2 linked regions of the Elephas maximus indicus genome follow. The protein of the gene in region 1 purifies or fractionates together with the protein of each later gene. This does not show direct contact. Links are inferred from orthologs where the notes say so. Each region holds a gene or a part of one and is shown on either strand. Other genes may lie near its edges.

Region 1 (15,993 bases):
GTCCCCCTGGCATTTGGAAACAAGGTGACATTTGCCAGATCAGTTTAGCAGAGAGCTGGGGCAGCTGCCAGGGTTAAGAAGGAACAAGGAAGGTAGTGAGGATGTGGAATTAGTGAGTGTGGAGAGTGAGTGCAGACAGCGCTTTCAAGAGGCTGGGCTGTGATGGGCCAAGAGATGGTGGCTGGAGCAGCCAAGGGTCAGTCAGTGGCCCAGATGGATGAAGGGAGGGAAGTGGGAGGCATCTGGTCTGTAGAGGGGTGGTGGTTAAAATGAGAGACTTTGGAGGGGGCATGTAAGGGGAGAGTAGGGTGGGGACTGAATCTTGGGAAAGAGCGAACCTAGATAAAAGTAAAAATAAGTATTAGGTGCCTACTGTGAACAGCCACCTCCTCTGTATCCTGTGAAACACAAAGCAATTACTTAAATAGTATAATCACCTGTAGGAGATGTTACAGATGGGGGAACGGAGGCTCAGAGGGGAGCGTGACCTGTCCAGAACCACCCAGCTGCAATGGCCCAGGTCAAAGACCCCAGAGCTCTCTGCTGCACCATGCAGCCCTTCTGCACCCCCCCTCCTACCCCTCCACAAAACACACACGCACACGCACACACACACAGCTGCAGGGATCACGGTGTTCCAAAACTGGGGGTGTGAGCTGTGCGGTGCAGGCAGGGGACTGGGACATACCCGGGTACCAGGAAGGGGAGGCCATTAGCGCCCTCAGAGAATTGGAAAGTGCAGTTTCCCGACCGAGGGGGCAGAGCCCATGGCAGGGGGCTAAGTGGGCAGCCAAGAGGCAGCAGGGCTTTTTCCAGCTCCAAGCGGCTGGAGCTCATTTGAAGTCAGCAGGGAGAGAGGCGGTAGAGGGCGAGGGACTGTGACGCTGGAGTACAGAGGAAAGAACTGGTGCTTCTGGCCCTGACCTCTCAGTGCTCAGCCCCACGTGGCCTTGTTACACACACCAGGTGACCGCAGTCCTGTGAGCCCCTCCGCACAGCCCTGCTACAGAGAAAGAACCGAAGTCACAGGTATAGGGCCTGGCCCCAGGTCACATAGGGATAGATGGGGCTGAGATTCAAACCTGAGCCTGTCTGAATCCAAAGCCAACCCTGAGAGTGGAGGAGGAGCTGCGGTCCCAGGGTCACTAAGCAGCTTGCTGCCTGAAAGCCTGAGGAGAAGGCGGGAGGTCTGCTGCTAGGGAGATGAGCAGGGGGTCGCTGCAGAGCCGTCCACAAGGACCCCTGGGTCAGACTGGATCTTCTGCTTAGGGCTTTGGGTGAATTGGAAACTCAGCTCAGGTTTCACCCGTGTCCCTTGCTGATTCCTACTACTTGGGGCCCCACTACTGGGGACCAGCTAGATTAAGAAGGATGCTTTCAGCTCCATTTCAAACTAGTTTAAGCAAATTAAGGGATAATTTGTCTTATTTAACTGCAAAGGTTAATGGCTTTGGCATGGCTGGGTCCAAGTACCCATGGATGTTATCAGGGGTCAATCTGTCTCTCAACACCCCTAACCTCTTGGCTCTGCTTTCCTCAGTGCTGACTTCACTCTCAGGCAGCTCCCTCCATCTTTGGCAAAGACACTCCCCGACAGCACAGACTCTCTATCCTGGCAGCTCAGCAGCCCCAGTGGACAAAGAGCACCTCTTTCTTGATGGTTCCAGCAAAAGATCCAGGGCTGGCACTCATTGGACTGTCGTGGGTCACGTGTCCATCCCTGAAGCCACCCCAGGGACTCTGACCGACCAGGCCTGGAGCTCTAGTGGGAGATCAGCCAGAAGACAGGGTGTGGATGATGGCAGCTGACTAGGGCTATCACTGCACTGGCCACATTCTGCCCTCCTTGCCCAGGAGCCCCTCCCAACTCATCCCTCAGACCCCACAATTCTAGCCTCCACAACTGCGTCTGGCACTGACCCCAGGCCAGCCCAGCCCCTGGATGTGGAAATGGTGTGCTAGAAAGGGAAGCAGGGAGATGACTGTGGTGGTTTGCTGTGATGCTGGAAGCTATGCCATTAGTATTTCGAATGCCAGCATGGTGGACATGTACTGTTCAGTGAATTACTTAATATGGTCCTTCTAGCCATAATCTTTGTGATTCCCATCAAAGACTGTGTGAGACTGTGCAAATGTTGTGCTTGTGGCCCACCAAGGGGATTGGACAGCTTGCTAATAATGTCCCATGGCACCCTTGTGGAGGTGGGACCATGCAAATAAGGTATATGGAAGCCTAATGAGAGGACTGGTCAGTTGTGCTATCCCCTAGGCTTAGAAAGAGACATGGCGGGCGGGGGGCGGATAGAGGGCTGACTGCAACACAGGAGACAGAGAGAGGCAGCAGAGGCAGCAGAACCAGGAGACCAGCAGGAGAGAGTGTGGTGGCTCCCCGGCCCATGAAGCTGAGCGCCTTCAGGTAGGAGGCTTATTGGTGGAGTAGGATGCCTCCAGGCACTTGGTGGAGCTAAGTTTGCCAGCCCATGGAGCTAGAGCTGAGCGCCTTCAGGCCAAGGCTTACTGGCAGAGTGGGATGCCTCTGGGCACTTATCGGCAGAGGCCAGACCAAAGGGCAGAGGGCCAGAGAGAAACCTGCCTGTGGCACAGCTGAGAAGAGGCTGTCCTGATGAAAGAACTGTATCCTGAGCATTCCTCAATCTGAATGGTAACTGTTACTTTGCTAATAAACCCTATAATCATGAATACTGTCAGTGAGTACTGTGTGGTCATTGCAATGAATTATTGAACCCAGCAGAGAAGTAGAGACTACCATGAGAGGGACATTTGGTGTCAGAATTGGTAAGGATGGCAGAGAGATGAGGCATATCTGACCTCCAACTCATAGCAATCAGCCTTGGGCTGTTGATCTTGATTCTCCTTCCCCCTTGTGAAATTAGAGGAAGTCAGATACCGCCACCACACCATTTTTACAACAGGTTTCAACAGAGCTTCCAGAGTAAGACAGACTAGGAAGACCCAGAAATCTACGTCCGAAAATTAGCCAATGAAAGCTCTATAGATCACAAAAGAATATTGTTCAATATAACACTGGAAGATGCGCCCCTAGGTTGGAAGGCACTTGAAGTACACAGTGGCCACAACAATTGACTTAAGCATACCAGTAATGGTGAAGATGGCGCAGGACCGGGCAACGTTTCATTCTGTTGTGTGTGGTGTTGCCATGAGTCAGAGGTGACTTGATGGCAACTAACAACACCCACAACAGATATTTGTAAAAAATATCTTTAAGCTGACCCTATGAAGTAAGTACCACCACTTTCATCCCATTTTATAGTTGATGAAGATAGGGCAAGAGAGGTCAAGCAACTAGCCTAAAGCCATACCGCTAGTGAGGTCACACTGCTAAGAGGCTTGTCAGGAGCCAAGCTAATGTGGTCAAAGTGGCTGGCCAGGTGCCAGCCGTCCAATGCATGCTGAAAAGCATAAGAACAAGGGCACACTTTTGAGGATGTTGTTTCAGGAAGCAGGTTGAGGGCGGACTGAAAAACCTTCCCTGTGAGCTGTGAGGGGGAGCTTGCATACGGAAGGCAGCGGTGGGAGGGAGGAGGGTGGATAGAGATGAGTGGAAGAAGGGGAAGCTCCCATTTTCTAAGCCTCCACCCAGTCACATTTTATCCTCACATGTTATCAATAAAGAAACTAAGGGAGGGGAAGTGGTTTTGCCAAGGTCACACAGCAAGCAACCATCTTCTATATCCAGATCTCTACATAAAGAAGGCTACCCTCTTTCCTGGCTTTTCTCTCTTCCTCCTTCAGCACGCTGGGAACCCAGAAGACACTGGATCAGCTTCTGAGTGTGGGGGGGAGCTCATGGTCTGGCAGCGGAAGGTCAATCAGTACCAGGAGAATGGTGGCTGTGAAGGCTGGATGGGAGGACTTTCAAGTGGCACCCACCACCAACACACCGAGCTTGAGTGTGTGGATTTGGAGATCACCAGTAGCTGGTTGGAAGGCACTCAAAACACCACTGGGGAAGAGCTGCCTCCTCAAAGGAGAGTCGACCTTAATGATGTAAATGGAGTCAAGCTTTCAGGACCTTCATTTTGCTGATGTGGCACAACTCAAAATGAGAAGAAACAGCAGCAAACATCCATTACTAATCAGAACCTGGAATGTACGAGGTATGAATCTAGGAAAAGTGAAAATCGTCAGAACTGAAACGGAACTCATAAACATCGATATCCTAAGGCATTAGTGAGCTCACATGGACTGCTATTGGCCATTTTTGAATTGGACAATCATACAGTCTACTACGCCAGGGATGATACCTTGAAGAGGAATGGTGTTGCATTCATCATCAAAAAGAACATTTCAAGATCTATCCTGAAGTACAACGCTGTCAGTGATAGGATAATATCCATATGCCTACAAGGAAGATGAGTTAATACTATTATTCAAATTTATGCACCAACCACTAAGGCCAAAAGATGAAGAAATAGAAGATTTTTATCAGCTGCCGCAGTCTGAAATTGATCAAACATGCAATCAGGATGCATTGATAATTACTGGTGATTGCAATGCAAAATTTGGAAACAAAGAAGGATCGGTAGTTGGAAAACAGGGCCTTGGTGATAGAAACAATGCCGGAGATTGAATGATAGAATTTAGCAAGACCAACGACTTCCTCATTGCAAATACCTTCTTTCACCAACATAAACAGCAACTCTACACATGGACCTCACCAGATGCAACACACAGGAATCAAATCGACTACATCTGTGGAAAGAGACGATGGAAAAGCTCAATATCATCAGTCAGAACAAGGCCAGGGGCTGACTGTGGAACAGACCATCAAATGTTCATTTGCAAGTTCAAGCTGAAACTGAAGAAAATCAGAGCAAGTCCATGAGAGTCAAAATATGACCTTGAGTATATCCCACCTGAATTTAGAGACCATCTCAAGAATAGACTTGACGCATTGAACACTAGTGACCAAAGACCAGATGAGCTGTGGAACGACATCAAGGACGTCATACATGAAGAAAGCAAGAGGTTATTGAAAAGACAGGAAAGAAAGACAAGACCAAAATGGATGTCAGAGGAGACTCTGAAACTTGCTCTTGAACATCGAGCAGCTAAAGCAAAAGGAAGAAATGACAAAGTAAAAGAACTGAACAGAAGATTTTAAAGGGTGGATCAAGAAGACAAAGTAAAGTAGTATAATGACATGTGCAAAGAACTGGAGATAGAAAACCAAAAGAGAAAAACACACTTGGTGTTTCTCAAGCTGAGAGAACTGAAGAAAAAATTCAAGCCTCGAGTTGCAGTGGTGAAGAATTCTATGGGGACAATATTAAATGACATAGGAAGCATCAAACGAAGATAGAAGGAATACACAGAGTCATTATACCAAAAAGAACTGGTCAATGTTCAATCATTTCAAGAGGTAGCATATGATTAGGAACCGATGGTACTGAAGGAAGAAGTCCAGGCTGAAGGCATTGGCGAAAAATAAGGCTCCAGGAATTGATGGAATATCAAGTGAGATGTTTCAACAAACGGATGCAGCAAAATGCCAAGAAATTTGGAAGACAGCTTCCTGGCCAACTGACTGGAAGAGATTCGTATTTATGCCTATTCCCAAGACAGGTTATCTAACCGAATGTGGAAATTATAGAACAATATCATTAATATCACACACAAACAAAATTTTGCTGAAGGTCATCAAAAACAGCTGCAGCAATATAGCGACAGGGAACTGCCAGAAATTCAGGCCGGTTTCAGAAGAGGACATGGAACCAGGGATATCATTGCTGATGTCAGATGGATCCTGGCTGAAAGCAGAGAATACCAGAAGGATGTTTACCTGCGTTTTATTGACTATCCAAAAGCATTCAACTGTGTGGATCATAAGAAGTTATGGATAACACTGTGAAGAATGGGAATTCCAGAACACTTAATTGTGCTCATGAGGAACCTGTACATAGATCAAGAGGCGGTTGTTCGGACAGAACGATGGGATACTGTTTGGTTTAAAGTCAGAAAGGTGTGAGTCAGTGTTGTATCCTTTCACCATACCTATTCAATCTGTATACTGAGCAAATAATCCAAGAAGCTGGACTATATGAAGAACAGGGCATCAGGATTGGAGGAAGACTCATTAACAACCTGCATTATGCAGATGACACAACCTTGCTTGCTGAAAGTGAAAAGGACTTGAGGCACTTACTGATGAAGATCAAAGACCACAGCCTTCAGTATTGATTGCACCTCAACAAAAAGAAAACAAAAATCCTCACAACTGGACCAATGAGCAACATCATGATAAAAGCAGAAAAGGTTGAAGTTGTCAAAAATTTTATTTTACTTGTATCCACGATCAACAGCCATGGAAGCAGCAGTCAAGAAATCAAAAGACCCATTGCATTGGGCAAATCTGCTGCAAAGAACCCCTTTAAAGTGTTGAAAAGCAAAGATGTTACCTTGAAGACTAAGGTGCACCTGACCCAAGCCATGGTATTTTCAATCGCATCATACGCATGTGAAAGCTCGACAATAAATAAGGAAGATCAAAGAAGAATTGACGCCTTTGAATTGTGGTGTTGGTGAAGAATATTGAATATACCATGGACTGCCAAAAGAACAAACAAATTTGTCTTGGAGGAAGTACAATCAGAATGCTCCTTAGAAGCAAGGATGGTGAGAGTACACCTTACATACTTTGGACATGTTGTCAGAAGGGATCAGTCCCTAGAGAAAGACATCATGCCTGGCAAAGTAGAAGATCAGTGGAAAAGAGGAAGACCCTCAACGAGGAGGACTGACTCAGTGGCTGCAACAATGAGCTCAACCATAACAGCCATTGTAAGGATGGCGCAGGACAGGGCAGCGTTTCATTCTGTTGTGCATAGGATCGCTATGAGTCGGAACTGACTCGATGGCACCTTACAACAACAACAACAGTAGCAGTTTCGCAGAAGAGGGAGAGCCAGTAGTGGTAACCCTGCTCCCGTCATTCAAAGAAACTGAGGGCTATGACAGGTCCACTGAATTTGGCAACTTTTGGGTCACTACTGACCCTAGCCAGTCCCTGGGTACTGCAAACGGTTAACATGCTTAGCTACTAACAGAAGGTTGGCAGTTCAAATCCACCCAGAGACCCAGAGGTGTGTCAGAAGAAGGGCCAGCCGATCTACTTCAGAAAGATCACAGCCATTGAAAACCCTATGAACCTCAGTTTTACTCTGATGCTCATGGGTTGTCATGAGTCAGAATCAACTTAATGGCAACTGATTCTTTAGTGACCTTGGCCAGAGCAGTGCCAGGGAAAACAGTACAGTTGACAAATGATAGGAGGAAGGTCATGTGCAAGGGACAAGGGCGGAAAGACCAGGAGTGGGCTCTCAGGCATGGGAGCAGGGAACTCTCTTGCTCTCCTGAAAATGGACAAGTTGATAATAGGGAAAACTGGGTGGCAACTCTCTGCACTCTCTTTGCAATTTTTCTGCAAATTTAAAACTGTTCTAAAATAAAAAGTTTATTTCAAAAAATAGATGGCAAGAGGTGAGAGTGGGTGTGGTTGAGGAGAATTTGCAGGTGGCTGGAATTTGAGGAAAGAAGTGTGCAAGTCGGCTGGCTTCTGTTTTTTTGGATGTGAAGTAGAATGAGCAGGAGGCTGGGGAGGGGCCCCAGGAGAGGGAAGTGGGAGGTGTTCTGAGCTAGGACAACTCCAAGGAAGCAGAAAGGGGCTGAGGCCAGAGGTGTCCTCTGCCTAGCCTTCCCAGATGCCCCCCTCAGCAGTGCTGTGGGGTCTTCTCCTCCCACCCCAGAATCATCCTCTTCCTGTCTAATGATGGGAGAAAGCTGAATGAAGCACATGCTTCTCCTGGCTCCTTTCTCCTTCCCTCCCCCACCCTGCATCATCCACTCCGCTGTCTCGGTGCTTCCCATTGCACCTGGTTTCCTACTGGCCAGTGGGTCTAGGGCACAGGGCCTGGGTCTGACCCTGCCTGGGCCTCATCCCCAGTGGGGGCCATGGAGAAACTGCCAGGGAGAGGGCCCCACGGACACAGTGGGCGCCAAGTGTTCTCTATACCAAAACCAAAACCCATTGCCATCCAGTCAATTCCAACTCATAGCAACTCTAACGGACAGAGTAGAACTGCCCTACAGGGCTTCCAGTGGCTGGTGGACTCAAACTGCCGACCTCTGGTTAGCAGCTGAGCTCTTAACCACCGTGCTACCAGGGTTCCGTTCTCTACACAAGGGTCTGTAAAATGTTTTGAGTTTTAAGAGTTCCTCCTACTCCCAAGCAGTAGGAACCACTGCTGGAGAAAAACACACACACTGTTCTCCCTCTCGGTGCTGGTGACATGGCCGATTACCTAACTCTGAGGCCCAGCTGGTGCCACCTCCTCCTCCACCTCCCAGATTGGACCAGTCCCATGTCTTTGCTCTCCTCTTAGCTCTGGGGCAAGTAAGGTTTGCTTGGGTCTGTCACTGTCCCCTAGAAAGATGGGGTTGGGAGGTTTTGCAGGTGGTGGGAAAGGATTCTGACAGCTGTGAAGAGTTCTAAGGGTCTCCTAGCAAGGACAGAGATGTACCAAGAGGCCCTGGCAGTGGTGGCCACGCCCCTGCAGGGGACCTCTCTGGGGCCTCAGCCTCTTCCATGCTCAGAGCTTTGGGAAATTAAGGTGCCAGGAGGCTGGCCCTGGTGTGTCCTTGGAGGAGCCCTGCCCTGGGAGTCTGAGTTAGATGCTGCTTCTTGAACTCAATTTGGGATTCCTTTGGGAGGCCTGAGGCTTGGGAGATAAAGCAAAGGATTTCCTAGGCTGGTGCCATCTGAAGAGGCACAGGAGGCAGCCAGTAAGGAAGAGAGAGCTCAGGACAGGGGTGGATGTGAATGGAGGAAGAGGCTGGGGATGGTGGGGGTAATGAGCTGAGGTTGGGGCTGGGAATGGCCTGAGAGAACATGGTCCCACAGGCATGGAGGGGTGTGGGTGGGAACTGGGTTCAGGATGGGACTAGGGTAGGTTGGAGAGAGAAGGGTGCAGCTGGATATGGGGTGTGGTGAATGGAGAGGTGGGGGTATGCCAAGCAAGGGATTGAAAATGGGCTGGAGCTAAGACAGAAATGGGATTGGAATGCAGGTAGCAGTGGACAGTGATGGGGATGGATTAGGCATGGACTTTTCAGAGGTGGTGATGGGCTGGAGACCAGCAGGAGTGGAGCAGGTATATGAACTAGGTTGGAGTTGAGATTTGAGACGGAAATTGTTTAAAATGGGCTGGGATGGACCAGGGATGGGGTGAGGTTGGGATAACCTATGAAGCACAGGAATAGGGTGGGGCTGGGACCGGACTGGAATGAAGTGGATTTGGGAGTGGGACTAGAAATTGGAGTTGGGGCTGGATGGGGGTTGGAGAGTGGAATCTTGATTAGATGCTGGGGCTGCGGGACTGGGTTTGGGGAGCAGGGTAAGCACCCAGGTTGGGGATAGGGTAGAGGAGGGTTCTGAACGAGGAAGGGCGCAACTGGGAACCCGAGGGGCAAGTTAGACTACTGGGGCTGCGCGCGCCGCCGCCCGCCTGGTTGAAGCGACCCGGCACCGCCCGCGGTGAGGGGCGTGGGGGCGCCCGGGGCAGGCCGGGAAGGGGGGGCGGGCCTCCCCCTGGGCGGGCCGGGGCGGCGCTAGGACCGAGTGAGCGGAGGGAGCCTAGCCGGGCGGAGCCAGCGCCCCCCGCCCCCCGCCGGCCGGTTCCCCTCCCCCGGCCACTGGTTCGCTCGGCTTGCAACGCTGCAGAGGCTCCTAGGCGGCAGCGGCGGCGGCTACTCCCTCTTTCCCTCCCTCCCTCTCTGTCCGTCCATCCGTCTGTGCGTCTGTCCGTTCGGCCTAGGTCCGGCCCGCAGCATGGCCGGCGTCAGCTTCAGCGGCCACCGCCTAGAGCTGCTGGCCGCGTACGAGGAGGTGATTCGGGAGGAAAGCGCGGCCGACTGGTGAGCCCCCCGCCCCCGCCCCCCGGCCCCTTTGTCCCCGCGCCGCCGCCGCCGCCGCGCCTTTGTTCCCAGCCGGCCCGCCGCCGACAGCCGGGAAGGGAGGGGGAGACCCCGAAATGGTGCATCGGACCGGGAGGGCCAGGGAGGGGCTGCCTTTGTGCGCGCCGGGGGGAGGGGCCGGGCGGGCCGGGCGGGCCAGGCGGGGCACTGCTGGGCCCCGAGCGCCCCGAGTGGCCCCAGGCAGGCGGTGGGAGCGGTGACCGGACACGGGCCGGATGCACGCAGGGTCCAGATGTGTGGCCCGGGGCCGCATGGCCCTACGGGAGCCCATCCCCAGTCCCTACCCTCCCCCCGGACCCGGGGGACAGGTGTGCGCGGGGCGGCCAAGGGCACCTTCTCCACCTTGGAGCTGGCGGGGACGGGGCGGGGACCAAGGTAGCGGAGTCAGCGCAGCCTGCCCGGCCCAGCTTGCCCGGCCGCAGCACAAAGGAAAGCTCGGGCGGGGGAGGAGCGGAGCGGGCCGGGGGCTGGGGCGCCCCGCCCACCGGGGGCCGCTTGTCGTTGCCCGCCCCCGCCCTCCCCTCCACTCTGGGCTGGGAGGTGATGGAAGGGCGTTCTTTGCCACATGGCAAGCTCGAAGTGACTCCTTTTCCCCTCCCGGGTCACGGAGGAGGCAAGAGTGAGCCGTCGTCTCCCCCGACCTGGACGGGATTGCAGGGACAAGGCAGCTGAGCTGGGGGACGCCAAGGGGACAGGAACTGCCTGTCTATGGGGCCAGCTGGGGTACCTGGGAGAAAGCCTTCAGGCGCAAATGTACGGAGGTGGGCCCCTTTCACTTGGTCCCGTTAGTTAGACCATTTGCCCACGGCAGCTAGGGGCACTCCTCTCCCAGTGGGGGAGGGTCTGGGCTGCTGCTCTCCCCCTCCCCCAGCTGTTATCGTGCCCCTGAGCCGGGGGAGGGGATGGACCACCAGCTCTGGGGCTGGAGTCCCCAGAGTGGCCAAAAAGCCAAGGGATTCCACACTTCCCCATCCAGGAAACAGCCCCCCAGAATACTCTTCCTGGGGCAGGTGCCCATTCTGTTCCCTGCCTCTCTTCATGCTGTCAGGCAGAAGACAGCTTCCTCTCCCCAAGGAAACTGAGGAACAGAGTGAGCACAGGCCTGAGTGGCCCCACTTGGGCTGGCCTCACCCTCAAGATGAGAGGGCAGCCAGATAGGGCCACTGACCTGGGGGGCTGGAGGAGGGGACGAAATGGCCAGGCGTCGATGCCACAGCATTGCAGCACTGGCGGGCGGCCAGGCCTGGAGGAATGGACGAGGGAGACAAGCTCTGTGTCCTGCAGGTCAGCCACAGGAGAGGCTAAGCAGACAGGAGGCCCACCCATTGTCCCAGCCTGCCCCTGGGGGCTGAGGTCATGGGAGGAGTTCAGGGCAAGGGGCCTGCTTGGCCTGGTGGAAGAGCTGGCCCTAAGTTGTGGGCCCTGCCTGTTAATCCCTGCCTGGGAAGTGACACAGCCCACTTCAGAGCACCCCTCATGCCATCCAGTCTGGGGAACCTTGTCTACCACCACCCACCCCATTTTCCCCTAACCCCCAGAAGCAGAGCTCCAACAGCCCTGCGCGGGGACCACACAACCACTGCTGCCCCACATCCTGCTCAGCAGAGGCCTGCCTGGCTCCCACCACCCAGCAACACCCATATGGCCACAGTGATTTATTCATCATTGGCGTGCATCACCCCCCATCTGGGCTGTGTGTGGGACACACACACACAGATGCACACACCCTTCCTCACATATACACACGTGTGTTCAGTCCCAAGGGCCTAGCTAACATTTTGAAAAAAAGTGTGAGGGCTGTATCCTGGGGAGAGGGGGAGCAGGGCAGGAGTGTGTCCCTCTCCCACTTCGTGCTCAACCACAAGCCAAGGGTCAGTGGTCTCAAGACTCAGGGCAGACCTGATCTCAGAGGCCAGGAAAGAGATGTCTTCAGTAAAACTGTTGCCTGCCGAAGGGGATTGACACTGCCCTCCCTCACCTGGCTTCATGGGGCAAGGCTTCTGAAATGGACCACTGAGCCCTGACGTAGGAACAGGGGCCAGGGAGATCAGATCATGTGGGAAAGGCCAGTGTTGTCATGACTGTATACAAGTCCCTGCCCCCTCTGATTCTCTGTGCACCTGTGAAATCGAAGGAAGGGATTGGGCTCAACCATATCTGGGAAACCTAAGGCCTTTCTAGCTCAGACATTCTGCGTGTGTGACTAGACTCAGCCCTCCAGTCCCAGCTGACCTCAGGATTGCCCTGGACCTGCTCACTCCAGCTCACTCCTCACCCTAGTCCAGGTTCTCTGGCCTAGGTGGTTTCTAAGAGTTTGTGTCAATATCACAGATACCTACCGGTGCTGCTCTGTGCTGGGCCCTGGGACCCAGAGCTGTATGTGTTGATTCATAGAGTTACAGGTTCTGCCCCCATGAAGATTACCATCTGGGCAGTGTCTCCAGGGTCCAGAGCTGGTGAAACGTGTAGATTCTGATTCCCTGTGGGGTTCACCAGCTCCCACCCCCCAGGATGGATGTGTCTTATGCAATTGTGGGGTCTGGGATGGGTTCAGATGCCTCTAAATCCCTGGTGGGGTCTGGGAAGTACTCTGGAGAGGCTGACAGAGCAAGGCTTCCTGGGGAGCTGCCATGGCCCCCCCCCGAAGGGTTTCCACAGTGGCGGTGGGGGTTCAGAACCAGGTCTGGCCTTCCATGTGAAGGGCACTCCAAATGCAAAGACTGGGGGTGGGAGATATGAGGGTGCCACCCAATGTGACCCAAGTGTGTAGTATGTACAGGAGGCCAGGGAAGGGGTTGAATTTAGGTGTGGATTCAGACAGGGGAGGGATGTGGCTGTAGCAGAAAAGGTGTGTGAATGGGCGAGGGGGGCTTGGAAGGGGTTGAGGATTTAGGGGCCTGGGGCAGGGCACGCCTTCCTGGGAGGAGCAGGGGCCATCAGCCTTGGAGAGGTCCGGATACCACCTCCCAAGGAAGTATGATGCTTAGAGCAGCGTTTGGGAGCCAGGATCCTCCGGTTCTGCCTCAGTTTCTCATCTGTGGGTTGGAAAGGGGCAGACTCTGCTTTCTGAGGGCCCTTTGTTCCCAGTGGTGGGTCAGGGCAGAGGACAGGTGGTGGGACAGCTGTGCGGGAAAGCAGCTGCCAGGACTCGGTGAGGGCAACAGTTGGACAAGGAACTCAGCCCCACAGCCCACCTGTGTCCCTCTTGGGAGGGAGGGACCTGGGAAGGGGAGGGGTTGGGGGGCCATTTGGCCCTGGCAGCAACCTGTGCTGATCTCATGGGACAGATTCTCCCTCCTTCCTCCCTTTCCTCTTCACTTCCTTGTCATACTTCTTCCCTTTCACTTGTTTTATTCTCTCTTCTTCCTTTCTGCCTGTGTCTCCCTCCCCTCTCCCCTCCCCTCCTCTTGTCCATCTCCCTGGAGCTCCTGCCTCACCCCCACCCCCATCTCCTGCTGCAGCATTGGGGAAATGGTAGCGTGGGGAAGGGTCCAGCCCTTCTGAACTGCAGAAACAAAGCCATTCCTTCTTCTCGCCCCAGGCCTCTCCTCCCACTGTGAGCAGATGGGAGGCACCTCTGCATTCCCTTCAGTGAAATGGATGCTGTGCCCCAGCCACCTGGGGAGAACAAGCCAGGGCAGAAAAAGCTTGGGAGGAGGAGGGTGGGGCATGAATGCTGGCTCAGCTTTGTGGCTAAGCTAGGGCGGAAAGGCTGGCAGTCCCAGGAGGCCAGGGCCTTGGCTAGGGTGGAGGCAGCCTCAGGGTTGGAAGGCTGGGAGAGCGCAGCCATCCCAGGGCCAGAGTCTGGGCAAGAGTGACAGAGGTGACCTCATCCCCATTTCTGAGAGGAGGAGTTGGAGGCTGAGGGCTGGTCCCTGGGGTCCTTTGTGTTCAAGGAGAATGCACTCGGGTGGGCCGCTAGTGTGCCAATTGCCGAGTTGCCATGGTTACTGGGGGATGCCCAGAGCTGTTAGAGCACCAGGTTCTGTCCTCCCCCTCCTTCCTTGCAGGGGGGGCGGGTACCAAGGCACGTGCCAGGTAGGCTCCTAGTGTTGGCCAATGGGGGCTGAGGAGCTCGGTAGTCAGGGAACAGTAACCAAGGTAACCAAGGAACAGTAGCCTTGGAAGCTCCATTGCACACCACTCTGCTCTGTGGAAGGCAGCTGGAGCCAGGGCCCGGACGCACTGGATTGGAGGCGCTGACCTCAAGCAGGCGGTGGCAGCGATTTCTGCCCCATCCCCTACTCCCCACCTGACCTAGGCCCTAAGCCTCCCTCCACTGGGCTCACAGTCCACCCCCTGCTGGGCTCCGTCAGAACCGTCAGAACCGTCAGAACCCGGTGCCCAGCCCTATTGTCATGATGATGCTGCCCCAGCTGGTCTGGAACCAGCTCCTGGCCTGGCCCCTCCACTTTCCTCCGCTTACCCCTCCCCAGAGCCATCTCCACCCAAAATTGGCAACTGGGGCTCTGAAAGTTCTTCCAGCCGCCCCTCCCTCTCCCCAGGGCTCTGTACACATATGAGGATGGCTCCGATGACCTCAAGCTTGCAGCGTCAGGAGGTAAGAATTCCAGCCATTCCTTTGCCTTTCTTTCCGCCCCCTCCTCCACTTATTTTCTTCCCCACCCGCCTGGCTCTGGGCCGCCCTCCTGCCTGCATCTGACAGCCCCACACTTATCTGGCAGTGTCCTTCTTCCAGTCATCCCTGTTATCCCCATTGGGTGGGGAGGGAGGGAGCCTTGTTTTCCCTATTGAGTGACTGAGGAGGAGACCAGAGCACTTTCAGAGAGAAAAAGAGACTTGCCCAAAGCCACACAGTTAGAAGGAAAGGGCCTAGGAGGCATGGGCAGCCCCACTCACCATTTCACACCAAGGCTTCTTTCACACTGTTGGGGTTGGGCACCAGCACCTCAGATACATGATGTGTGAGGAGGGAATGATGCGAGAAAAGGGCTAGAGCAAGCAAACACTTCTTAGTCCTACGCCAGATCAGCTCCAGAAGGTTCAAAGACAAAGCTAGACCCTGCCTGCCATCCCCTCACTCCTACAAAACTATGGGGCTTCCACGGCTTAGAAGCCAGAAAGCCCCTGGGGGGGAGGCCGCTGAGCCTGGGAGAATTCTCTCCTGTGGGGTTCAGGCCCTTCACGGAGGAGGGGGTATGGGTTTAGGAAACAGGAGTCCTGACACCCTCCTGACTCCCCCAGAAGGGGGCTTGCAGGAGCTCTCGGGGCACTTCGAGAACCAGAAGGTGATGTATGGCTTCTGCAGCGTCAAGGACTCCCAGGCTGCTCTGCCAAAATACGTGCTCATCAACTGGGTATGCAGCTGTAGGCTGGGGAGGGGCACCCACTGACTCTGGGAGAGACTCCCTCCGGCCCTGGGGAGGATGGCCTGGGGGCTTCACCTGCTGCCCCGTCTCCCGACCCCTCTTCACTGGGTATCTTGCAGGTCGGCGAAGACGTGCCTGATGCCCGAAAGTGCGCTTGTGCCAGCCATGTGGCTAAAGTGGCTGAGTTCTTCCAGGTGTGCGTGGAGCCAGGCCCCATGGGGACAGGGACAGCCACCCAGGGCGGGGTCGGTATGCTGGGGTGGTAACGGGGGCCACAGTGCTGCCTGAACGCTGCCTTCTTGCCAAAGGGCGTCGACGTAATCGTGAATGCCAGCAGTGTGGAAGACATAGATGCAGGCGCCATCGGGCAGCGGCTCTCCAACGGTCTGGCGCGGCTCTCCAGCCCAGTGCTACACCGTCTGCGGCTGCGGGAAGATGAGAACACTGAGCCTGTGGTCAGTGTGGGCCTGCTCTGGCTGGCCCTGCCCTGGGCCCCTGTGTCTGGCCCTCCCTTGTTCCCCATAGTGCCCTTATTTATGGGGGTTCCCAAAGCACCAGCCTGCTCTCTGTGCTTATGCCCTGTAACTTGACTCTACAGGGCACCACCTATCAGAAGACAGACGCAGCTGTGGAAATGAAGCGAATTAAC
Region 2 (15,038 bases), about 110 Mb from region 1:
CCACTGGGTTTCATAGGCTATAATCTTTACAGAAGCAAATCGTTAGGTCATTCTCCTATGGGGCCACTGGGTGGGTTCAAAATAAGAAAGAACAGGGCTCAGTTATTCCATTAATTTATCAAAAAATCAACCAATTCTCAAAATGAGAATTCTTCTCATTGTTGGTATCCTCTTTATATATGTTGATAGAAATAAAATTATAATTCTACATTAAACCGAACCCAAAACCAAACCCACTGCCATCTAGTTGATTCCGACTCAGAGCGACCCTATAGGACAGAGTAGAACTGCCCCATAGAGTTTCCAGGGAGCACCTGGTAGATTCGAACTGCCGACCTCTTGGTTAGCAGCCCTAGCAAATTCTACATTAGTCACAGGTAAAATAAGTATAAAGTTGTAAGGCAAATCTTACCTATACGCCAACCAAACCAAAAACCAAACCTGTTGCTGTCAGGTCGATTCCAACTCATAGCAACCCTATAAGACAGAGTAGAACTGCCCCACAGGGTTTCCAAGGAGTGGCTGGTGGATTCAAACCACCAACCTTTTGGTTAGCAGTCCAGCTACTACCTACACCCGATAACATTTAATTACTTGCTTGAGGGAATTTCAAGATGTTCTCACTTTTACTTTCCATGCAGTTTGTATGCTATCCAGAAAGTTGTTTTCAAACTTCTCAATTCACTATTCCATGGCCCACCTGAGAATGAATGGCTCTGCTACAAATACACCATGCTGTTACCTACATTGGGGGCCCTGGTGGTACAGTGATTAAGAGCTTGGCTCCAAACAAAAGGTTGGCAGTTTCAGTCCATCAGTAGCTCCTTGGAAACCCTATGGGGCAGTTCTACTCTGTCATATAGGGTCCCTACGAGTTGGAATCAAGAGCACAGCAACGTGTTTTTTTTTTTTTTTTTTTTTTTGGCTACCTAGATTTTTACCTCTGCACACAAAATACCCTCATCCTGAGGAAGTCCCATTCAGCCAACCAGATACTTCTCAATCACCATCCCTCTTTTCCATCCATCATGAAATTTTCCAAGGTTGGTCCAACTATCTACCTCCCCTACCCAGCCAGTGTCCATCGCTCTCACTTTGGCATTTCCACAGGATACAACATACAAAACCAATTTCTAAATAATTTCTTTAACTGTTTTCTCACTCTGCTTCCCCTGATCTTTCATGTTACTGTTCCGTTGTTAGGTGCCACTGAGTCAATTCTGACTCATAATAACTCTATAGGATGGGTCAGAACTGCCCCACAGGGTTTTCTAGGCTGTCATTTTTTTTTTTTTAATAATTTTTATTGTGCTTTCAGTGAAAGTTTACAAATCAAGTCAGTCTCTCACACAAAAACTTATATACACCTTGCTACACACTCCCAATTACTCTCCCCCTAATGAGACATCTAGGCTGTCATTTTTATAGGAGCAGATTGCCAGGTCTTTTCTTCTGCAGAGCAGCTAGTGGGTTCAAACCACCAACCTTTCAGTTAGCAGCCAAGCACTTAACCATTGCACTACCAGGGTTCATACTGCTACTCTACTTAAAGCCCTGTAGCAGTTGTGATGTGTGGAATCATGTTATTGTTTTATAGAGTCAAAAACTTAAATTACATTTAGGATGGAGATAGCTAAAATAGAATAAAAAGTAAAACAAATGAAACTATTTTTCCAATAGGTAACATAACCATAAAACCCGTTGCTGTCGAGTCGATTTTGACTCATAGCCATATGAAGGGGAAAATAACACAAATAACTTCTGAACACATATATATCCTCAGTTTAAAAGCAAAAACAAAAAACAAAATCCATTGCCATCGAGTCGATTCTGACTCATAATGACCCTATATAACAGAATAGAACCACACCATAGAGTTTCCAAGGAGTGCCTGGTGGATTCGACTACTGACCTTTTGGTTAGCAGCTGTAGCACTTAACCACTACACCACAGGGTTTCCAAGAAAGCAACCACAAATAAATCTTAACCTCGAAAAAACCCCTGTAATGGTTCCCCAAGCCACCAGTTGCTACCACTGGGTAGTTAAATCAACTCAGTGGGTCACAACCATCGTTCTTCCTTAAAAATAATATAGAAAATAGCAGAGTGCATCACACAAAGTAAAATTATTCTCTGAAATTTTGTCATTTATACACCAGTACACAAGACCATGATGTAAAAATGTTTATCTTACTAATGACTCGTGGCCAAAAAAGTTTAAAATACACTTGCCTACAGGAATGATTAAGTATTTGCTAACTGAGGCTGCAGTTCAAAGCCATCAGCTGCTCCTCGGGAGTAAAGACCTGGCAATCTGCTCCCATAAAGATGACAGCCTAGTACACCCTATGGAACAGTTCTACTCTGTTTTATCGGGTCACTATGAGTCTAAATTGACTCCAAAGCATACAACAACACAGGATAATACAAAGTCTTTTGTTTGGTCTACCAAAACCAAAACCAAACCCACTGTGGTCAAATCAATTGACTCATATGGGCCCCACAGGGCAGAGTAGAACTGCCTCCATAGGGTTTCCAGGGAACGGCTGGTGGATTTGAGCTGCCGACCTCTTGGTTAGCATGGTTAGCAGATGCAGCTCTCAACCACTGTACCACCAGGGTCTGGTCTACAAGGCTACCTAAACTTGGCCCCTGCCTAAGGCTCTGGCTCTATCTCTTGCTATCCCCCCAAGGACCCCAAGCAAGATAAGCCTGTCTTGCCAAATGTTTTTGCAGTTTCTTGTCTTAGTGCTTTCAGTCATACTATTTCCTTTGTCTTGAATGCCCTCTCATTTGTCCATGAGGCCCATCTTACTCATTTTTCAATATCTAACACTTGTCACCTCCACCACAAACCCTTTTCCATCCTTCCCTCAAGCTAATACACACAAACACACACACACACACAGTGCCTTAATGGTGCCTTACCTTATAGACCCTTTGACATTTCACTGTACCTTTTATTTTAAAGCTTGACTGTCTTCCCCACTCAGAACTATAAACTTCTTGAGAGAAAAGAGTACATTTTACTAGTCAGCAGCACTGAGCTCAGTACAGGCCACATAATAAAGGTTCAAAAGTTTGTAAAGTGAACAAATATAAAACTAATGAGTTCCATCTAATTTCTCTGCCCTTAGGGATGATACTATGGTTGCCTTTATAACAAAGCTCATTCATATTTGCAGTGCTGGACTAAGATTTCAGCATTGTTGCTACAATCCCCAGACAGCAGCACCTGGCAGCCTGAGGCACAAAGACGTGTCAGCTTCCTGTCCTTCAGCAAAGAAGGGACTCAGTTCAGTTGCAATGCTGCAGCACCCACTTCCATGCCTCCACAAGTTATCTGGGGAAGGGGAGAGGCAAGATTCCAGAGGCTCCCACAGGTAGGTGAGATAAATCAGAAACTGCACCAGCCAACTTCATTAGCAGGAAGGACCCTCATTTTATATATAAACCAAAAAAAAAAAAAAAACCCACTGCCATCCAATCGATTCCGACTCATAGCGACCCTACATATAAACCAAAAAAAACCAAACCCATTGCCATCCAATAGATTCCAACTCATAGCGACCCTATATAACTAGCTTTAATTGGGTAGGGGGAGCTTTAGTCCTTTGTTGTTGGCACTTAGTTGCCAATATGATCTAAGCAACAATTCAAAAACCAAACCCAGTGCCGTCGAGTCAATTCCAACTCATAGCGACCCTGTAGGACAGAGTAGAACTGCCCCCATAGTTTTCAAGGAGCGCCTGGAGGATCCGAACTGCTGACCCTTTGGTTAGCAGCCGTAGCACTTAACCACTATGCCACTAGGGTTTCCAAAAAAATAAATAAATAAACAAAATATTCCAAAGGTAGCATGAAATAACTGAAGTTACTTGATTTCTGTTGACTCGTCTGACAGCTCTGAAATAGGTAGTGACTCACTGCTCTTATTGTGAGATGCTACTTGGGGGGGGGGGTGGCAAACCAAAGGGAGGGGACCTTCTCACTGAGTTTTCCATAGACTTCATCTTACATACGTGAATGCCCTAATTTTTTATTGTCTGACACAACTTTACAAACGGATACTTCAGCTGTCTTCACTGCAATTAAAAACAGTTCATGCAGCATCCAAGATACTTTGACAGACTCTGCCAACTGTCAGTTTCAGCTGTTCTTTTCAGTTCCACCAGAGTTCATAAATTACTGTTCAGGAGCCACAGATTTTCTTCCCACCTAATCACTCATTTTCTTGAACGTAACCTCTTTTGCTTAGACTTTGCCCTTAAAATTACATTCATAATTAAGGCAAAGAAATAATTTTTACTATGAGCTAGCATCAGCCAAAAATGCATTCATTATATGTGACACTCTTCACTCACAATATTAAATTTCAGACACGTGTCAGAATAAAGTTTTAGGATTGCGTGGGTAAAAGTTTAAAGGTCATTTATAGCTCTGTTTCCTCTTGTTTTACATAGGTGCTGGCAGCTACGCTTACTCCACAAACATTTATTAGGTATAAACATCTATCAAGTTTGGAAACTTGCACAAATGCCTTCTCCTTGTGCTCTTCTAGTCCACTTCCACCTACACTTCCGCTCATTAATTCAAGACGGTACACGTCACTATCAATGAAAAGGGTCATAGCCCCTATAACGGACTTTCTGAAAAATAACGCCACAAACACTCGCTCCCTTTCCACCTCAGTCCACCTTTAAGACTTTATTAACAAAAGGCAAATAAACTAGTTTATCAGCAAATTTAATTATGCTGAAGTATCTAAATGTGTGTTACGTGTGTGCTGGGCACGGGGAGGCTTATTTTTATATTTTAAATCCTAGTCCCCTCAGTATTTAAGTTCATCTCAAGCCTTCTTGGTAAAATGATAGGCATTCATGAGGCTTAAAAAAAAAAATTTTTTTTTTTAAGGTTGTGGAAAACTGATTTTCTTCCAAGATGCTACCGCTCACAATCTAGAGAATGCAGTCTTCAACGTGAAAAACTGCCACTTGATTTTTTTGCTCCAACATATTTTAACCAGAAGAACTGCAGGTTCTCAAAAGAAGCCATATTTCAAAGGCTTTAAATAACAGTATTTTTCAGAATCCCTCCTTTAAAATTAGTGGAGTTAATCTAAAACATTTTTCAAATGCATTATTTTCCAGCTTGTTAAGGTGCTTAAAAACTCTTTACAGAAAATAACATCTCCACCTGAAAGATCTACTTTAAGAAGCCAACTAGTGATCATTAAAATGTAAGGAGAAAAAAGAAAACAATTCATTTTTATAGTTGGAAAAGTCTTTCAAACCCATCTCACATAAGTTCTTCACTTTGCAGATAAGAAGACAGTCCACAGAAGTTAAATATTTGCCTCAGAGCACTAGCCTACTAATAGCAATGCTAGAAACAGAATGAGATATTTTAATTGCTCCCAAATCATGGGAATTACATACATTCTCACCACTTGTAATTTTTTAAGAACAGTTATCACCGTTTTCCATTAATTCCTGAGGAAGAGCTCCTACAATACCCAAGCTATGAAAGTTGTTCAAATTAATTAACTTCACATTTTAACTCCAACAAAAAGGTAGTACTACCCAAAACTTCCTTTCAAAAGTCTCAAGAAGTGTGTGTACACTCCCCTAAACTATCACAAAGAAATGTGAGTCCATCCTTTCAAAATCTGCCCCTCAACCACACACACACACAGAGAGAGAGGGAGGGAGGGAGGGAGGCAGAGAAAATTCTGGAAGTTCCTCTCTGAGGGAAAGCATCAACAATCTGTCAATAAAACAAGTAGATCATTCCATTAATATGAGTTTCCAGCTTAAATTAGGAAGTCACTAGCATTTTATCAAGCTACTCGTGTGAACGAACTTAATAAAAGGTTGGAAAATGCACTCCTGATTGGATTTGGATCTGACAGAAAGGTAGATCTGACATTGTTAACACAAACGGAAAACCTGAGCTTAGAAGTAAAAAACAGAAGAAGTGAACAAGTTCCTTCGACAAAAGACTTTTTCTTATTCAAGTTCTTATTTCCTACTGACTGCACCGCACTCTGGAGACAGCTTCAGTAGACTTTCAAATTTTCATTTAAATCCCCCCAATAAATCAGTTCTAGCTTATATATATACATATATATTTTTAGCTTATATTCAAGGGCAAAACAGAGGGCACATTGAGGGCAATAATTTACACTGGATCATTTTCAAGGACTGTCGTCTAACTGCTATTTAGTTTACAATACAATCGTTCCCTTTGTGCAACTGATTATTCTCAAAGTACTGAGAGAATGCAGTACTTCTTTTTGAAAGACATCGACCAGCAACAAAACCTCAGACACGATTTTGATTACAAACTCATGCAGCAGTTTGTGGAGAATGCGTTGCCTTCTTAAATATTACTGATAAAACTATATTCCGGTTACTAACGTTATACGCGCCGTTCCTTAACTATGACCTCCCTGTGTCACTCTAAAAGAACGCACAAAATAAATTGTTAATAGGTTAACACACCTATATTTTGAAGGTGTAGCCAGCTTAGCAAGGTGGCAAATTTGTTCGAAAACACAAAACACAGACAATAACACACATACATAAACAGATTTGAAGTTGTGTTAAGCACAAAAATCCTTACCCCATTTTGCCCAGTGAAAACTTGCTCTGAAGTTTCTGCTCTTATACGGAATAACTTCCAAAGGAATTTCTCCGTTTGCTATTTCGCCGTTGCTTTTCCACCCCCCGAAGTCCTTTTCCGGAGGTATTTTAATGATGCTGACAATTTGTTTCCTTAAGTAAAATGCTTTCTCCCTCGTAAGTAAGAAATCGTTCAAATAAACTGAGGTGGCATTTGCTTATTAGAGTTAAAATGCTGCGCGGAGAAGACAACGGTCAACTCTATTCCACAAAATGAGTCTGTAGGAAAACGCGGGATCCAGCTTCACCGAGTCCTATAAAAACTGAGTTCGCTGGTCTTTTCGCTCATGTCCTCCTTGACACTCACGAAGAGCTAGGTAACTCGGCCTTTTCGGTGCTACGGGTTCAAATTTCTCCACACCAAGTCCCTGGGGGTGGAGCGTCAACCCACCGCGACGTGCACTTAAAAGATCCCTACCTGAAAATAAACATCCGAAAAGCAGTAATGCCAATGCTTCCCTACGCTCACATTAGAAAAAAATATATAGAAAAATCTCCTCGAAGTGCAAACCCGACAGCTCGCGACGTGCACGGCACTCCACATTGGAATCTGTCTTTTTAATTTTCCCCTCAAGACTCGGAGCAGAGAGGAGGTAGGGAGAAGGAAGAGAAGACTGGGCAGGATCGATTCACTCTCCCGAGGAGAATAAACGGAGCCATATCTCTACTGGCAGAAGGCTGGGGGCGCAGCGCACGCCGGGGAGCAGGGGGAGGGGACCCGATCCCACCTCCCTCAGCCCCTGCCCGCCCCCCGCCGCCGAGCACAATGGAGCCCGCCTCGCGCCCGGCCCTTCATTCGCCGCTGCCCTCTTCCCCCTCCCTTCAGAGCGCAGCGGGTCTCAGGCTCCCGTCGGCAAGGAATGAATGAATCAGAGAGCCAGGCTCCACGCTTCCAACGGCACCCTGCCCCCAGCTCCGGGGCGGGCCGAGCGGCGGCGGAGGAGGGGGCTGAAGGGTCGACGGGCGCTAATGCCGCGTCAGGGACCGGGGACCAGGGCTCCGAGCCGCGGGAGAGCCGCTGCTCCAGCGCCCTCACCCCTGCTCCTCGCCTCTCTGGCTGCGCACTGCCGCCACGCGCCGCCTCACATTCCCGGAGCCCTGCTGCCGCCTCCTCACACCTCCTTCACCACCCGCCTCCGCCGGCTTCCAGCTCCCGCTCGGCAGGACCCCGCCGGACCGAGCGGCCTGAAGCCCGCCGGTGCCTCCGCCTTCGCCCGCCGGCTTGCAGAGCGGAGGGCACCCCTTCCCCGGTCAGCACAGCCCGCAAGAGGCTAGCGCGGCGGCGGAGCGAGCTGCGGGGGGCGGAGGAGGGGGCGGGGAGAATGGGGGCGGGTGATAGTGGCCCCTCCCCCTGCTCGCAGGAGGGGCGGGAGGCGGCCGCCACCGCGGAGGCGCGGCCGGGAGCCGGGAGCTGGGGCGCAGATCTGTCCCTTGGGCCCCGAGGGGCCCTGCGGGGTGCGGGAGGGGGAGACAGCCGCGAGGGGGAGGAGAGGCTGGTGGTCAGGGGCCGAGCCAGCCCTCGTGGGGAGCTAGGCCAGCCAGTCAGCAGGTCCGTCAGTCCGTCCTTCCTTTCTTTCCCCCCTCCCCTAGCGGCCGGCGGCGGGCGGGCCGTGCGCTCTCCTCCTCCGCTGGCTCCTGGCCCCGCTCCCGGCCGCCACAGCCTCCGCCGCTCCCCACACCAGATGCTCGCGCTGTGTCTCCATCCTCCCCGCAGGAGGACCTTTAAATAGCAACGTCAGCGCGCTCCTCTCCGCACACACGTCACCCGCCGCTCACGTCACCAGAGTGCGGGGGATGATGTCACGCGGCCGGAAGCATTGCTAAATTAGGGAAGGAGCAGGGGAGGAGGACTCGGCGAGCTCTTCTGTGCCCACCTGTTCTAGCTTCTCCTTAAAGGCCAAAGTACAGGAGACAGCCCGAGAGGAGCTCCTAGAAGGAAGCGGCTGGAGGAGATTTCCTCGCAACAAATGTGCCAAATGAAGTGAATCATTCATAGCAACAGTTCCGAAGTGTCAGGGGGCGGGGGGTGATATCCTATCTCCCACTCCCACCCCTGTTGCAGCAGCATCCCCGAGCTTTTCACGTCCCAACTAGCTGGGAAATGTGGGAGGGAGAACCTGAACACTAGTGGTAGATATACTTCCAAGACTTGGGAAAATTCACCGTAATTTTCGAAAGACTTATTAAATACCAATCTATAAATTGTAGACGTTAAAACTTCTCTTTTCCCCTCTTTAGTGATTAAGTACAGAAGAATAAAGAGCCGGGCCATGAACAAAGGTTATACAGCAATGCTATAAATGATAGTAAAGGGGAAAGGACATAAAATGATATGTTTTCATTTGCAAAAAAACAATGTTTTGGCATAGGATAATGTTTCAATCTTAGAAAGTTCATTCAGATAATTATCATAGCAACCGAATCACCCGTTGCTATCAAGTCGATTCTTACTCAAAGCAATCCTGTAGGACACAGTAGAACTGCCCTATAGGGTTTCCAAGGAATAGCTGGTGGATTAGAACTGCGGACCTTTTGGTTAGCAGCCCAACGTTCAACCATTGGGCCACCAGGGCTCTTATAGCAAACGCCAGTATATTCTCACTTCCGGTGTACCAACAACGTGAGTTCCAGTTTGTGGAAATTAAAATAAGACCACTAAATCCTTTTTTGTTAACACGAGCACATTTTGATTATTTTTGTCTTCCTTAGTTTTTACCATATAATACATAGTTAAAATATTTCCTAAGTATGTTTTTCACTTCTATTCATGGCAAGGGTGAATACCCGCGTATAGGCTTATTAGCTATGTTTCTGTCTATATTACAAATGCTTTTAAAACTATAAATTACTATAAAGCTTTTACAACTTCTACCTATTAAGACTCAAATATATAACGAATTTTTGTTTAATTTGATTTAACTTGATAGTCATGGGCCGGAAAAAGAATTGCTACCTACTGTCAAAGGATATTACTATTTCAGAGTTAGTCTCTAAATTGAGTGACCATGTATTTCAAACCAAAATCAGGACACATCATATGACAATAAATGAAATACTTGAAATCCGAAGTGACCTGGAAAATCCAGGACATAGGATTACCAACCTATACAGTGATTGTTAACCCGTTGCCTTCGGGGTTTGGTTTGGTTTATGCAGATGATTAAATTCTGACTTTAATATATTTGCGAGATTTCCATATCTCACCACTTTGGTGTGATTCTTATGTCATTTTCTACTGATTTGACTCATAGGGACCCTATAGGACAGAGTAGAACTGCCCCATATAGTATCCAAGGAGCAGCTGGTGGATTCCAACTTCCAACCTTTTGGTTAGCAGCGGACCTTTTAACCCCTGTGCCACCAGGGCTCAAGTGATTGTTAAAAGAGAGTTATAAATCAATGTAGCTTAAACAAGAGAACCTAAAACTCTATAGAATTTATACCCTGTGGGGGGGGGGGACATGTTTTTAATGTTAAGCTACTCACACAATTCCTAATTAAGTAACATTGGTTTTGCAGCTTTCTGCATGTAAATATTCTTAATCAAATTAGGAACCCAAGATTAAAGAACACTGGCAAAAAAAAAAAAAAGATTAATACCAATTTGTAACTAAATCAGGCTTTCTGATCATCTTCACATTATGAAATCATGATCCCTCCCTGATTTCAGAATTTGCTTCAAGTTTGAAATGTTAAAAGTAGTGAATAGAAACATTTTTAAAAGGTTATAAAAAAAAAAGTTAATCAGAAGCAAATCCGTACTTGCCAATTCGTCTAATACATATGAACGTGTTAATAGAAACTTGTACTAACATATTTCAGACAAATGGATCTTCCTACTTACATATAAAATATTAAAAAAATAAGACCATCATTCTTCAAATAATGTCATCTCTTGGCCTCTGCAAATTAAAATAGAAATTAATTTTTTACTCTACTAAATTTTCTCTACAAACTATTTTTTCTCAGAACTGAATCACTTATCCCTCTTTCCTGCTCTTTCCCTTCATGTTAAAGTTCTCACGTTACCATTTTTCAAACACTTCATTCTACCCTTTGATCGCAACTTCCTGTGTTTTACAAACTTTTTCCTCTTAATTTTTACCCAGCTGTCAAAACAGCATGTCAGCTGCCCCCTTGCCTTTAGAATGCTGACCTTTCAATAGAATTTCCACTTTTCAAAGCTGCATGGTCCCTTCTCAGCTGCTCTTTTGTTGACTGAAAACTGAGAGTACCTTTTTTTAAAACATAAATCTAATGGTGCACTGTGATATAATTATTTAACTTTGGCCTCTGCTCTTATTGAGAAAATTCTCCAGATAATCAATCAGTTTTTGTTTCTTGTTTATGTGGGATGAGTATATAAGGGAGTATATATGTCCATGTATCCAAGATAACAAGTAAAAACTTTGAAATATTTTATGTAATATGGAAGCTCAGGAAAAAAATAAGGGAAGTGAGGTCCTATTTTCCCCTCTTGAAATAAATCCAATATAATTTTGAGAGGAGTCAGAGAACCATTCTATAACTTTCCATCTAAAAGTATTATCTTTTCTCCTAAAATGAGCTGACATAACCCAAATCCCAGACATGAATTTCCAACTCTGATTTCTTTGTATGTTTATTAAAGTAGTGAGCTTCCTAGAAAGTAATGTATTTTCTTTTACCGGAAGAGCAAAAAGTGCTTTAGCAGAGTTTCAAATTTTTAACACTTCCTGTTTCCCACTTACATTCCGAAAATTTGTAGAGAGGTTTATGAATACCCTCTGATTTTAGAATCTGTGGGCGAAGGCATCTGTTTTAGTTACAGAGTTTACTTCCATGCCCTTAATAGGAGATGGCAGTCTTCAATGGGTGTTCATAGCTTGGTCATGAGATATGTCTTTTTCAATGAAAAGACATCTAGAACATAGAAAAACTTGGCAGAAAAGAGGGTAAAAGTCGAATTTTATTTTTAATTGCTTAACATTAAATTAGATAATAGCAACTTCCTTTCAAGTTGTCTCTTTTTAATAGCCAAAACACCAGTATTGCTTCAAACAAAGTAATAAGTAAAAGGATACCGCTCCATACAATAGAAACCTCAAGATTTCTAGTTAATGCCACGTAGTTCTGAAGGAACAAAATAACCAGCAAATACTAAACGTGATGAGAAAAGAATGAAAGAGCTGTAGGGAATCAGAATTTATCAAGTTAACTCTCTCAAATCATTCCACCTCTTCCACACTGTAGCAGATATTGGGTGCCATTAAGTTATGTTTGGCCTATTTATAAAAAACATCTTTTGTTATTATCAGTAATGTTCTGAACAGAAACAGGTTAGTTAATAGTCTAAAGAGTGGAAAGGTAAGTGTCTTAATTGTCTAGTGCTGCTATAATGGAAATAAGACAAGTGGATGGCTTTAACACACAGAAGTATATTCTCTCACAGTCTAGGAGGCTAGAAGTCTGAATTCAGGGCACTAACTCCAGGGGAAGGCTTTCTCTTTCTGTCAGTTTTGGGAGAAGGTCTTTGTCATCAATCGTTCCCTGATCTAGCAGCTTCTCAGCACAGGGGCTCCAGGTCCAAAGGACACGCTGTGCTCCCAGCACGTCATTCTTGGTGGCATGAGGTCCCTCTCCTCTCTGCTTGCTTCTCTCTTTTATATCTCAAAATGTATTGGCTCAAGATATAACCTGATCCTGTAGATTGAGGAGTCTTGCCCCAATAACATAACTGCTTTTAATCCTGCCTCATTAATATCATAGCGATTGGGATTTACAGCACATATGATAATCACATCAGATCACAAAATGGTTGACAACCGCACAATACTGTGACTCATGGCCTAGCCAAATTTATACGTATTTTTGGGGGGATACAAGTCAATCCATAACAGTAAGTGTTTGGCATCTCCAAGGCAATTGCTTGAGGACAAGTTTTATCTCTCTGAGTAAGTGAATTTTATCTAATATAGGTATATATGCATTATTTTGTCACAGGAATTTGGGCATGATAGGGTGGTACCAACAGTTAATATGCTGCACTGCTAACACAAAGTTTAGGGGTTCAAGCCCACCCACAGATACCTTGGAAGGAAGGTTTGGTGATCTACTTCCAGAAAATCAGCCATCGAAAACCCTGTGGAGCTCAGTTCTACTCTGACGCATCACATTGTGTTACAGACTCTACAGTAACTTTTTAGGAAGGAGAGAGAAGTTAGAGAATTATCGTCAGGAAATATATGATATTGAGCCCATGGGAAATGATCTCACAGAACTATCTCCTACTCTGATTTTTACTGTAAATTCATTCTTTGTTTTCCAAATACTAGCAAAAAGATAAAAATATAATACAAGCCAGTGAAAGAACATACCAGAGAGTTTTTCATTAGGCACTGTGAGGAACTCATTGTATAATTACGTATGTAAATTTTAAGACATTCAGAAGAGACAGGGATATTGATGTCTTTGAAAAAATTATCTCGTTTAACTCCAGGTTTTTCGATTGTGTTTTTGATTGGTTGGTTGGTTGTTTCAAACAGCAGTTACAGAAAACATGGTGTAAAAATATGCAGCTCTGCAGACAGCTACAGTAAAGACTGTAGTAAAGCTTGAGCTGTACCTGTGCAGTTACTTAGAATGGAATGCTGTAGAAGCTGATTGCTATGGTAACCAATAATCTTTTTCCTGAAAGGGGGAACAGAGCAACCATGAGGAAAATATTTTAAATGAGCTGTTACCTTATTTTGTGATTCTTTTGGTGCCAGCTAGGAGAAAAACAACACCCAAGGTATTTAGGACAGCCGCTCTTATGAAGGGAAGTTGCCTGTTTTTTCAAAGAAATAAGAGTAAAGCAGAAATTTGGCACTATTTTAAAAAGAGGTGGGGGTTTAAGATGGCAATTGCAAACTCTCTGAAGCTGAACATAACTGATAAAGACTCTGACATGGCTAAAGCAGCAAGAAATGATAAATACCTAGATCATGTGTTAAAGGTTCCCCCAAGCGTAAGAGCTCAGAGATTTGATGCTCAACATTTGCAGTTTTTTTAGCCAAGATACTTCATAAGTTACTGATTAGGCTTTTTGGTTTCTTTTAATCTAATTCTAAACAATAATTTCTCTACAAATTAGAACAGAAATGGCAAATATATCTTTAATCAATATCTATTTTGCTATTTTAATAATGAATTCTTTTTTCCTAAAATGTGTGTACGTATGTGTTTGTGTGAGTGTTGTGTCATCTGCTAAAATCTCTCACACTTAGAATAAAATCCAAACTCTATTTCTTAGTCCAAGAGGCACTCCTCGATCTGGCTCCTACCCCCCCTCTTATCTCAGCTACCATTTCCCCCATCAGCTGCTACTCTATGTGTTCCTGTGTTATCAACTCTCTATATTTAACAAGAAGTCTGAAGGTAGGTGGTCCTGTGGTTGGTTTAGAAGGTTCAGGGTGTCATCAGGGTCCAGGATCTTTCCATCTTTTTTATTTTGCCGTCTTCATGTGTTGTCTCTTACACTTGGCTTCTTGTCTCATTGTTGTTAGAAGACTATTGCATTTCCAGGTATCATCTCCTCACAAATAGCATACTAAACAGGAAGGGGGGAAGGAGATTACAGAATTTTCTTCTTCATGCCTCTCTCTCACCCATTGTGGTCGAGTCAATTCTGACTCAAAAGGACCCTACAGGACAGAGTAGAACTGCCCCACTGTTTCCATGGCTGTAAATCTTTACAGAAGCAGACTGCCACATCTTTCTCCCTTGGAGTGGGTGATGGGTTCAAACTGCCAATCTTTCAGTTAGCAGCTGAGCACTTAACCACTGTGCCACCAGGGCTTCTTTGCCTCTCTCTTACCAGGGAGAAAAGCTTCCAAGAGGCCCCTAGAAGCCCCACCCCCCATGACTCATTGGCTAGACTGGGTCACATGCCCATCCTAAATCAATTACTGACAGTTTGGAACAGGATGTTCATGATTGGCAAATGATGGTTCATCCCTTGTGTCTGCACATTGTGACCGAACAAATTTAGAACTCTCTCAGCAAGAAGGAGCAATGGCTGTTGGGTATACTGCACAAAGCCACTCTGATATTGCTGCTGCTCTTCAAATATGCCAAGCTTGTTCTAAATGCAGGGCCTTTGCCTTCTTCATTCCTTTTACCTGAAACACATATTACCAAGATTTTTGCATAGCTCACTCTTCATTCAGTTCTATGCTCCAATTATATCACTTTAGAGAGGTCTCCTGGACATTCTTTATGAACTATCTCCACACTCATAGTCACTCACCCTCCACTTAATCTGCTTTATTTTCTTCATAGTATAGTCAACACTATCTAAAACAACATTATATGTTTGTTGGATCACTTGTAGAA

Evidence for each region.
Region 2: the proteins of DBN1 (region 1) and HOMER1 purify together in Homo sapiens (co-immunoprecipitation; 3 studies listed by BioGRID and IntAct, counting the BioPlex papers as one, with this or other methods). This does not show direct contact. The link is inferred for Elephas maximus indicus from reciprocal best matches to the Homo sapiens genes DBN1 and HOMER1.

What each region holds. Positions count from the first base shown.
Region 1 is NC_064820.1:197,837,324-197,853,316, reverse strand, and holds the start of DBN1 (drebrin), read left to right. Parts: upstream 1-9,651; 5' UTR 9,652-9,868; coding exon 9,869-9,954; intron 9,955-14,519; coding exon 14,520-14,575; intron 14,576-15,219; coding exon 15,220-15,332; intron 15,333-15,463; coding exon 15,464-15,538; intron 15,539-15,652; coding exon 15,653-15,799; intron 15,800-15,942; coding exon 15,943-15,993. UniProt on the Homo sapiens protein: Actin cytoskeleton-organizing protein that plays a role in the formation of cell projections. Required for actin polymerization at immunological synapses (IS) and for the recruitment of the chemokine receptor CXCR4 to IS.
Region 2 is NC_064820.1:84,487,022-84,502,059, forward strand, and holds the start of HOMER1 (homer protein homolog 1), read right to left. Parts: upstream 8,381-15,038; 5' UTR 6,630-8,380; coding exon 6,625-6,629; intron 1-6,624. UniProt on the Homo sapiens protein: Postsynaptic density scaffolding protein. Binds and cross-links cytoplasmic regions of GRM1, GRM5, ITPR1, DNM3, RYR1, RYR2, SHANK1 and SHANK3.